Linked DNA regions of Bombyx mori. The protein of the gene in region 2 purifies or fractionates together with the protein of the main gene of each other region. This does not show direct contact. Links are inferred from orthologs where the notes say so. Each region holds a gene or a part of one and is shown on either strand. Other genes may lie near its edges.

Region 1 (4,228 bases), on a different chromosome or scaffold from region 2:
GGACTAACATGACGTCCTAACACTAGTAATTGTGCAGTTTATTACTTTTGCAGGTTTGATTTTGAGCACATAATATTACTTTTTGATAGTGGTAGTCAGTTGCAAACATATGTTAATAAGTAGCATCCAATGAAATTATGTATTTTGAATATCAGCCACTAACCTCCACACAGTGATGGAACCATATTTCCTAAGGCACTCATCGTAGAAACCATAAACCTGTGTGATTTGTCTCGATTCATGATTTCCTCTGATGAGTGTTATGCGATCTGGATACCTAACCTAAATTTTAAATATAATACAACTTTAAAAATTTAGTTTAATTCAGTTAGTATGTTATTTTTTGCTATTTAACCACATCTATCTAAACTTTTCGAGAGTCAGAGGTTATAAGCTTATATGGTTTAGTCTTGCATATTACATTGTCATTATATTATTTCCAAAGGTTTTCATGGCAATAAAAAATGAGAGATTAAACCTTAGAAGTAGTTTCAACAATATTGATATAAAAATTTATGTATTTTATAAATATGAAAGTGTTTGGGTGGTCCGAAATTGGTTGATCATATTACTGAAACTATTGATAAGTCTGTTCTATCTTCTTCCCAATATTATAATAAAAACTATGTTTCAGGTACATTTTTATGTTTTCTTAAGGCAAAACTAGCTTTACTGTATTTTATTTACTATATTTATTATTTTTGTTGCAGAGAAAATAAGTACTGTTGCCTGAAATGCAAACACTGTTTTTCCAATTCTTTTTGAATGAAATGTACAATTCTTCTATGGACTTAGCTTAATATAAGACAGGCCAGTGTCAACTCAGCTTCCATATAAGCTACTACCATTTTATGACTGCTACTTTAAACAATCATGTATATTATATGATTTACTTTAGTAGACATTAATAATGATTTAAAACTTGTGGGCACTCATGTATACTTTATATCCGTGCACAGTGATGAAACATGGGAGCCACTAAAACATTCAACAGGTATCAATTAGAAGCTCCTTAGAGTTGCAAGAGGTCAGTTTAGTTGCTATGGTCTTCTTCCCTTTTATATAGAGTACTATAGTATTTTAATCATACTGGAGAGAACTGGATGAGTCATGACTCAAAGATTCATGGTTATAAGCAAGGTGAATAAATCGTAAAACACAATCTGAATCATTAATTTGCATACGCTTTTCAAACAAGAGCTCGAGGCAAGAGAACAGGCAACTTCTGACGTATCAATAAAGATCATAATGTTCACTCTTGAGATACTAATGCAATGTAATTAATGTGTGATTATTGTTCAATAATAATGTTAAAAATTACCTTTAGTGCAAGTAACAATAAGAAAGTTTCAACAGAATAAAATCCTCTGTCCACAAAGTCTCCCATAAATAAATAATTTGTTTCGGGTACATCACCTCCAACTTTGAAAAGTTCCTTTAGATCATAAAACTGTCCATGTATGTCTCCACAAACCTATGGATAAAATATATTATTGTGTCATTTCCCATGTTCATGCAGAGGATTTACTTATATGTATATTGATTTGAATTTTCTGTTACATCTCACAAGCTTTCATGGTTTAATAAATTTTGATTTCACTTGAATATTTGTTCACTTAATAGTTGAGAATGGTTTATTTTTTATAAGATACTTATAACATTCAATGTATACTAAGCAAACGTAACAATTCATTACATTTACAATTACAATTTCTTTATTATTACGCATATTATTATGATTCATAAAAGAATTACTGCAATTTGATATGTTGTTATGGGTTATAAAGAACTTATTAACATATAAATATGTGTAATTTAAATTTGTGAAATCATTTGATAGCACAATGATAGCATTATTATTTGAATATATTGTGAATATTTACATAATATACATTACCGTTACGGGCGAATCCACTCTTTGAACGTTACTTTCTTCTACCAAAATTTCTCGAGCTTTAGCGCATAGGGCTTTTACTTCTGCTTCCATTATAATCTCACATCTTTTCAGCTGTTCGATCTGACGATCGAGATCGCTCGTATCAGACATGTTAAAACACTCGGTCACGTTACCTTAAGAGATACACATTTCAGTTTACATAGAAAAATTGGGCATTCTTTCAGTGGGGATAAACCAGAACACAACGAACCACCAAATTGTTAGGTTATAAAGACAATGAAGATAATTTTATTGTATAGTACTTACAATGTCTATTTCAACAACAGTTGAATGTTTTTATCTAATTTCGTTACTGATATCTCAATTATTACAATACTTTCGTTCGACAATTCTAACGCATCCGCCATTGACCGTAGTATATAGAATTGTGTTTAGTCTATGGCTCAAATATATTTACTGTATCAGATATGCTATGGCTGGTTGGTAGCTTTTTTTTTTTTTTTTAAGAGATTTTATGACCTGGTAACTGAGACCTTTAAGTCATGTCTTATTTTAATCTATATTCTTAATTTTATGAAAAATGATATTATGGAGTGAAATGAAATGAAAATGATTAATTTGAGACATTAATCAACTGGGATGAAATTAAATGAGATGATATGAGATGAAATCTAATCTCAGTAAAATGGTGGTCATTTACTAAGATTTTTCAGTGGACTTTTTGGAGGATCCCGAGAAGTTACGTCCAGCGGCTTTGTTTCATTTTCCCACATTTGTGCACTTTCACAGATATTAAACGGTTAATAAACCACCATTATTACACATTTAAACCCGAAGAAACACTAAATAGACAAAATAAAACAAATCACACAACTTCACTCCTCGCGTTCCCGCCAAAAAAAACCATAGCTAGGCTAAAATTACCAGGCTATAAAATCCCGTAAAAAAAAGGGTGGGTGGGATGGTGAATGGGTGTAGTTATCATTAATGACATTCATTCGGTTCGTTCATTGTCACTGTTGTTTTTATATTTATTGATTTTTCGGTAAATTAAACAAGTTTGTTATCGTTTTAGTTGTGAAGTGCAGTGTGTGTATCGTGAAAGTCACTGTAAAAGGATTCAAAATGGGCAACATCCACACTGTCGGTCCTAACGAGGCGCTAATAGTTTCAGGTATGTCATATAATTCACTAAAACCGAACCATTTCTGTTCATATTATCTTAATATTAAGTGCGCCTAATTTAGTTTCACAAATATTTCAGTAGGTAATAGTAGGTATTATTCACTACCTAAATTATTACAGCACTAAAAAGTATGTAAGTGTTAAAAAATGACATAAACAGATATCTAACATTTCTATTACATTTTTGTCCTTGTATACTGAATTTTATTTTCAGTGTTTATTTTGTAAAAGTGATTTCATTAGATATACTGTATTTAAACTTTTGGTAATCAATACTAATTTACTCCCACTTTTCATCATAAATTTAATTAATTTTCATATAACGTACATTTAATATCATTGAATTTCGTCAAATTAGATGCTGTAAGGAAAATTGTATCAGTGTCATTAGAAAAAAACAAAAGGAAAATAGACAAATTTATCTTTATCATTTGTGTTGATTAGACCAAAGAAAAAATGACCTAATACATGTTATTTAATTTATCATTAATATTTTTTACCTGTCTGCCCAAATCTTATGCAGCTGAGACATTGCATTCATGATGATTTTGATTTTTCTACGCATGACATTTACCATTTTTATTTTTTCATTGCCTTGTAGGCAGTAGGCATACAGCCCACCTGATGGTGAGTAGTTACTGGAGTAATGGACCACTACCGAGCTGCTGCCTACTGCCTGGTCACTGTAATTCTAATTTTGGTGTGGCTTTAGTGTCGTATGACATGAAACAAAAATAGAGCAATAATTGAAAATAGTAAATTTGGATCAAGAGTAAATTTTTCTGTTTCATATCATACTTTTGATATCCTTATCGATTTCTAAATCTGATGTTAAGAATTTTTTTTATTATGTGCATTTGATATAATGACATTTCCAAAAAATGACTCTTGGCCCTTGCTATTATCCAGCAATGTAACTTCTTATTTCTTAATCTATAAACGATAATTAATTATTATTTATTGCTGAACAACATTAAATAAATCTTGATGCAGGCATCGCCACTTATCATAATATAATAAGACTCATTTTTTGCTGTAGCAGGGCAGACAAGCTTAAAGCCCACCAGCTGATAAGTCATCACAGTAGTTTTGGTAGACAAAACAACCCAAATACTAACCTGTGAGAGGAAGATGAATTTAAATTTA
Region 2 (6,129 bases):
TTCTATTTACAAAGTGCTATTAGATAATACTAATAAAGATACTTTAGGAGCTAGACATTTTATTTCGTTTCTCATTTAGTGAAATAATTTTAACAATTCAGCCTCTTGGTTTTCCTCATTTAAATACGAAAATATAACCTTTTAAAAGCCAATTAAGAGAACTAAATAAGTTAACATTTTTTTATTGCCCTTGTAGGCAGACGAGCATACGGCCCACCTGATGGTGAGTGGTTACCGTCGCCCATGAACTTCAACAATGCTAGGGGCAGAGCCAAGCCGCTGCCTACATACCCTCCACAAGTCTCGTTTGAAGAAAGACATGTCATAGCGCTCGGGAAACACCGTGGAGGGGAGCTCATTCCATAGCCGGATGGTATGTGGCAAAAAAGACCTCTGAAAACGCACTGTCGATGAACGCAGCGGTTCCAGATAATATGGATGAACTCTGCTCCGATGGCGGGAGGTGCGATGATAAAAAGGAGATGAGGGAACCATCTCACACAATTCCTCAGAGCGCTCCCCATGGAACATACAGTACCAAATACAGAGGAAACCGAAGTCCCTCCGCAGACCCAGGGGTTCCAAACGATCCGTGAGAATTTCTTAATTTGACTGTATGTTTGGAAACTTATACTAAGTGAATTTCTTTTGGGAAATGAGGTTTATTATAATGCCTTTCAAATTCTAATATCTGAAATCAACTGACTTTGAGTAACTAAAAGCATTTCCTATATAATATGAATCCATGCGACCTACTCTCGGGCAACTGTCTCTCCTCATAACCAGAGGAGTGGAGCATGCTCCACCAGGCTGCTCCAGTACAGTTTGGTGGAATCCCTACGGAACGAAACTTCGATATAATTATGACAAGTACTATAAGGGTAGCTTCATAATCATCTTACAAGTAACAAAAGAACAATTAGTACCATCCATGCCCTAACAGATTAGATAATGGGTTTAGTTATGTAGATCAAGATTGAATTGCGATGTAGTAATAACTTTCAAGTTCCACTATAAAATATCTCCTGGTGTAATGTGACCCACAAAGTTTATAATTATACAAAACCAATGGACCTTGTCTGATTGTGAGGTTGATACACTTGTCCTGCCTATACTGGCACAAAGCCGTTGTGTTCCGGTTTGAGTTGTGTTTTCCCTTACTTTTGGTGAAGTTTAGAATATTATTTTGTGTTATATTACTTCATGTTTCAAAGAAAATTGATTGTTGTCAATAGGCTCTTAATAATAATTGCCTAGTCTAATGCATCTAGCATAATGACTAGTGATTTGTAATCAATACTACTTCATGATAATCTGCATTTAACCTTTTGAAATAATCACAAAAGTGCACGGCACTGAATACAAACCGCAGTCTAGCTCCTGAAGTAAATCTCGTGGCCATTAGAAATTCATAATAAATGAAATACCAAAATGAAAACAGAATTTTGATAACTGTGCAACATTAATCTTTTTCACCGTTCAAGTTATTATAAATCTTTCAACTATTTCTTACCCTCGACAACATCAATCACTGCTATTCCCTGCACAAATGGTTCTAGTGTTGGTAGGAGAGCAGTCCTAACTGCTATAGCTCCTCCCATTGAATGTCCTACCAGTATTATAGGTGGTAAGCTATCACCGTACAACTTGTGTAGCACTTGTTCAACGTCTCTGGAAATCAAAATGTTTTAAGATTCATTATAAACAATAAAAACTTATGACTATTTATATATGTTTTCATGTCCCAATTTAAATTTTTATATTTTTTAACTGAAGTATATATTATGTAGAATATTATCTTTAATTTACTCAAGTCATAAATATGACTTAAACCACTTTTACTGTGTAATTTCGTGCTTGTTATTTTCATTATATTATTTCACAGCTATTTTTTGTATGAAAGACAACTAAGATTCTATTCATCACCATTTTAATAATGTGGTATTTTTATTACATATTCTTAGAAAATAGATACTAAAAATTAATTATACTCACTTAACCAATGTTTCAGCGCTGAGATCATCAGAGTCGTTTGCTTTTGTTTCACCGTGGCCCCTTAGGTCTATTGACACAACTTGGCAGTGCACCATGTTTGTGATTTCCTCCTGTAAAACAATACAATAAATGTGATAATGATCTTAGAAGATAAAACTGTGACTTTTAGATTTGAAGACTAATTTCTTAGAATCGTTCGTTTCTACAACTTCATTAGTAGTAATCAAACAAGATGCAGAAACAAAATCGTTTTTTTTCCTACCTAAGCTGATAGCCTTGAGAGGCTATGTCAGCTTTGGGGTGTTTAACGACAAAGGGAAGATCTTTCACCGAGCGGGTGATATTTGCTCGGCAGACCGATGGTCCGAATGTGGTTGTTCGGAACTTGTATATATGCAAGATTCAGGCATCTGTCAAATATCTTGCGTTGTATGATGGCTACCCGCCAGACAGCGTAACCTCAACTAGTAGGTGAGCTCACGGGGCTCAAACCTAATGACGTTGCTAGCACGAACCTTAGCAAGAGCCGTGCTCACAGAATCTACCACCGGATCGGAAACGCGACCCACTGAGAAGATCCGGCGAGAAACTCAGTGGGCTGTGTCTGTGGGTTAATTTACTCGTCGAGCCCTTCGTCGCAGGCGACGGGTTGGGGCGACGTCGACTGCTTTCCATTCTGTCCGCAAGGTCGGGAATGTAGTTACTGGCAGCCACGATCAGAGGGTTCTCGTGTCGTGCCGCTTTATCGAAGTGCAAAATCAATTTTAATGTAAAAACATCTAATAGTCTAATCTAACATTTGTTAGTAAAAAACGCAATAAATTTTAGATAATAGAGTTGCCACTAGTTAGGATTTGTGTATACATACATCATACACACATAGTAAAATGTCCATAAATATTAAATAGTGTTCGAGTCAACATTAATAAAGTTGTAGTGTGACCACACTGTGTAATTTTGTTATGTCATCCACTAATCTAAAATAAAACTAATCTAAAAAAAACACTAGTATAAAAACTTGTCCCATATATTGATTACAAGGCACCACCACGGTTATTTATTTATGGTTAGCTTAGAAATTGAATATCGTGTCATGGTTATGCTAAAGAATTCCTTTTCGACATTAGGACAGCTAAAAATGAAGAATTTTGAAGCTTTTAATATCCCATATCAAACTACATATAAGTTAAAAATACCACAACTTAATAGTGAGCATCCAACAGATTCATAAGTTATTACAATTTTTTCCGATGGGTAATTAACAAAACATTTCAAAACTTACAGTAAACAATGCCCAGCTGAGTCCCGAGTATCCCCCTCCATGAAGAGTTACAAATCTAGGTCTTTGAGGGTGATCGGGCTCCGGCGACAGGTACACCCGGAAAGTTCCTCCATCGGTTTCCACATCAACGAACCTTTCAAAATACTGCTTCCAAGATACTGGTGTATAGTCTTTACGGCGCCCAGCACCGAAAGGCGCCAACCTGAGATACGATTGAATTTGAAAAACCGCAATAATAATTTGTTGCTGAAATTTTAAGAAAAAAACAGTACATTTTATTTATGGTTTATGAACTAGTGTTTTTCGTTAGATTACTGAAGATTTCTAATCGAATCTTAATTAAAATACACAGTTAAAATTTAATACTCAAAGAAGTCTGTCAAATTTCAAGATATTCTAAGCGGAATGTCAAACATACTTGGATACACCAGACGTTTTAGGACATCTTGGTGGCAGTTTATTTTTCATAATAGTCTTTTGCAATGTCGACATGGTTTTAGTTTAAGTAACCTGTTGTTTTGCTATAATTCAACAATTTTCGAAAACAAACAGCACAGATGACATTTACTCGAACGCCGACATTTTATCTAGCTGTCAGAAATCCGAAGCGTTTCTTTGAGTTGAGCTCTAAATTTGATGTATAAAATAGATGTGACAATCGACTAAAATTGATCGTTTTATTCTTGCATACTCCCATCTGCCAAGAGTGATTCTTGTAATAAAACGAAATTAGATTTTTTGGTAATATATGTTTACGATTTTTAGTACAGTGAGTTAAATTAATTCTGTAAAAATACGCGTGCAACTTATTTTTCTAATCATTTTATCTTAAAATTACCAACATTATGACCTATTTATTTGAACACAAAAAAATTAAACGCAACTTGACATTGTTTGTGTGGTGTTGTGTTTCGATTACCAATTTTGTAATTAATTTTTTTTTTAAAAAGAAATGTAAATGTTTTGATTTATTATTAATGTAAGTTTCAAATTAGTGTAGTACTGATGATGTCGAATAGTTCCGAGTCGTCAGTGACCTATCTTAATCTGAAAACAATGTGCAGAATATGCTTACAAACAAGCAAACAAATTTTCGATATTTTTACCTGTTACTATGTGAAAAGAAAAACGTTATACAGTGAAATGTTGGCTAGTTGTACGAAATTAAAGGTACGTTAGAATGGAAATTTGAAAAAAAATTAAACGCAATCGTTCTCTGGAAAATGATAATGAAAAACTAAATTTGAATAAAACTCCCGTAAACACTTAAGATAACAAGCTTTGTTGTTTTAAATTAACTTCATTAATTACCAAAAAATACTAGCTTCATTATGAAACCGAGTAAATTTGCATAGTGGCGTCAAATTTTGATAACAAACAAGAATGTAACAGAAACAACTAGTTTCGAATCTAAATTAAAGATATCGTAGAGAAAAATAATGAGTCATTTATTTAAAAATAATTTTAGCCAATAGTTGATGACGGACTACCTCGAGGCATCTGCAAAGACTGCAGTCGACAGTTGAAAAAAGTGTACGCCTTCAACTTACAATGCGAGAAAAGTGATGTTGAATTACGGAATGTCATATCGCAAAATGGCATAGAATTAAATAGTATTCCCAATCAAGATATAAAACAGGAATACAATGAGCTTAAAAGGGAAAGTGATAGTCTAGATGATACTAAACCATCTTGTGTATCAGATGAAGATGGTATTAAAAACGATATCAAAACTGGTAAGTAACTATGTTCATTTTCAAATGTTCATACTGGAAGCTTAGATCTCCAATTCTCAAGATATTGAGCTCTTAGCATGGTTAGTTGAAGCTTGGTGATAAAGTATTTTGATAGCATAAATGTGAAAGTACCACCATCCTGGCTATTTCACTGGCAAAGTCAGCCATTCCAATTTGACGGGTGAGACAGTCATAATTCAACATAATTTTATTAACTTTATTCTAAACATGTAAATGTTCTGTGTAAATTTTTATCTGCTAATAATATTTATCTTTAAAGTAGTTAGTAACATAAATTTGTTTGTCTTAAAATCACAGATATGCTTATGGCAAAACTGATCAAATTTATTTGTATTTAGTATTTTTTTTCTCTCTAAGCACCTGCCATTTTTGTTCATACTTTGACATTGGCAAAATCAAAGGTGTTGGAGCCAAATTTATATTTTAAAAATAAATGCAACATAATTGATACTCAAACAGTCTCAAGACAGGTGACAACTTTCACCTTGTGATGTTAATGAGCTCCAGTAATCACTGAATAAGGTTTTTACCAACAAAGCATCATAATGACTGAAAATATTTTGATCTTTTTTTTTATTTTTATTGTCTTTTAGGCAGACGAGCATACGGCCCACCTGATGGTGAGTGGTTACCGTCGCCCATGGACTTCAGCAATGCCAAGGGCAGAGCCAAGCCGCTGCCTACCGAAAAAAAATATTATTAATCAATTTGTTAACAAATTGATAAGAATTACCTATCTAATTAAAAATGTCATCAAAGTTAATTCCAATTAAGTTATCTTAATGTACATAATGTAAGTTATCTTAATGTAAACAGTAATTTAAAATACCTGATCAACCTGTGATGGTAGTAGGATTTGATATTATGGACTATGGCGTTCAAATTCCATACTCTAGTATAACATTTTCTAATGTAATATGATCTTGACCCAATGTTCAGACATGACTTCTAATGAAGGAACAATATCATCTAGCCATCCACCTATCTAGGGAAATAATTCTGACACAAATAATTGTATTCATTGGGCCTAGTCATGGATCACTTATCTGTTAAGTGTGTAAGTTTTAAGTATATTTCTTCGATCAGGAAAATGGT

What was found. Proteins that work in one complex are often made in the same cells at the same time.
Region 1: the proteins of protein phosphatase methylesterase 1 (region 2) and serine/threonine-protein phosphatase 4 catalytic subunit purify together in Homo sapiens (affinity purification with mass spectrometry; 3 studies listed by BioGRID and IntAct, with this or other methods). This does not show direct contact. The link is inferred for Bombyx mori from reciprocal best matches to the Homo sapiens genes PPME1 and PPP4C.

What each region holds. Positions count from the first base shown.
Region 1 is NC_085122.1:4,603,082-4,607,309, forward strand, and holds the start of serine/threonine-protein phosphatase 4 catalytic subunit, read right to left. Parts: upstream 2,801-4,228; 5' UTR 2,204-2,800; intron 2,071-2,203; 5' UTR 2,048-2,070; coding exon 1,898-2,047; intron 1,475-1,897; coding exon 1,322-1,474; intron 283-1,321; coding exon 164-282; intron 1-163. Other genes in the region: flotillin-2, read left to right, coding at 3,023-3,071. UniProt on the Homo sapiens protein: Protein phosphatase that is involved in many processes such as microtubule organization at centrosomes, maturation of spliceosomal snRNPs, apoptosis, DNA repair, tumor necrosis factor (TNF)-alpha signaling, activation of c-Jun N-terminal kinase MAPK8, regulation of histone acetylation, DNA damage checkpoint signaling, NF-kappa-B activation and cell migration.
Region 2 is NC_085113.1:11,193,052-11,199,180, reverse strand, and holds the start of protein phosphatase methylesterase 1, read right to left. Parts: upstream 3,882-6,129; 5' UTR 3,770-3,881; coding exon 3,696-3,769; intron 3,674-3,695; exon of another isoform or gene 3,552-3,673; coding exon of another isoform or gene 3,550-3,551; intron 3,480-3,549; coding exon 3,278-3,479; intron 2,106-3,277; coding exon 1,996-2,105; intron 1,672-1,995; coding exon 1,514-1,671; intron 838-1,513; coding exon 757-837; intron 1-756. Other genes in the region: zinc finger protein with KRAB and SCAN domains 8, read left to right, coding at 4,283-4,447, 4,746-5,013. UniProt on the Homo sapiens protein: Demethylates proteins that have been reversibly carboxymethylated. Demethylates PPP2CB (in vitro) and PPP2CA. Binding to PPP2CA displaces the manganese ion and inactivates the enzyme.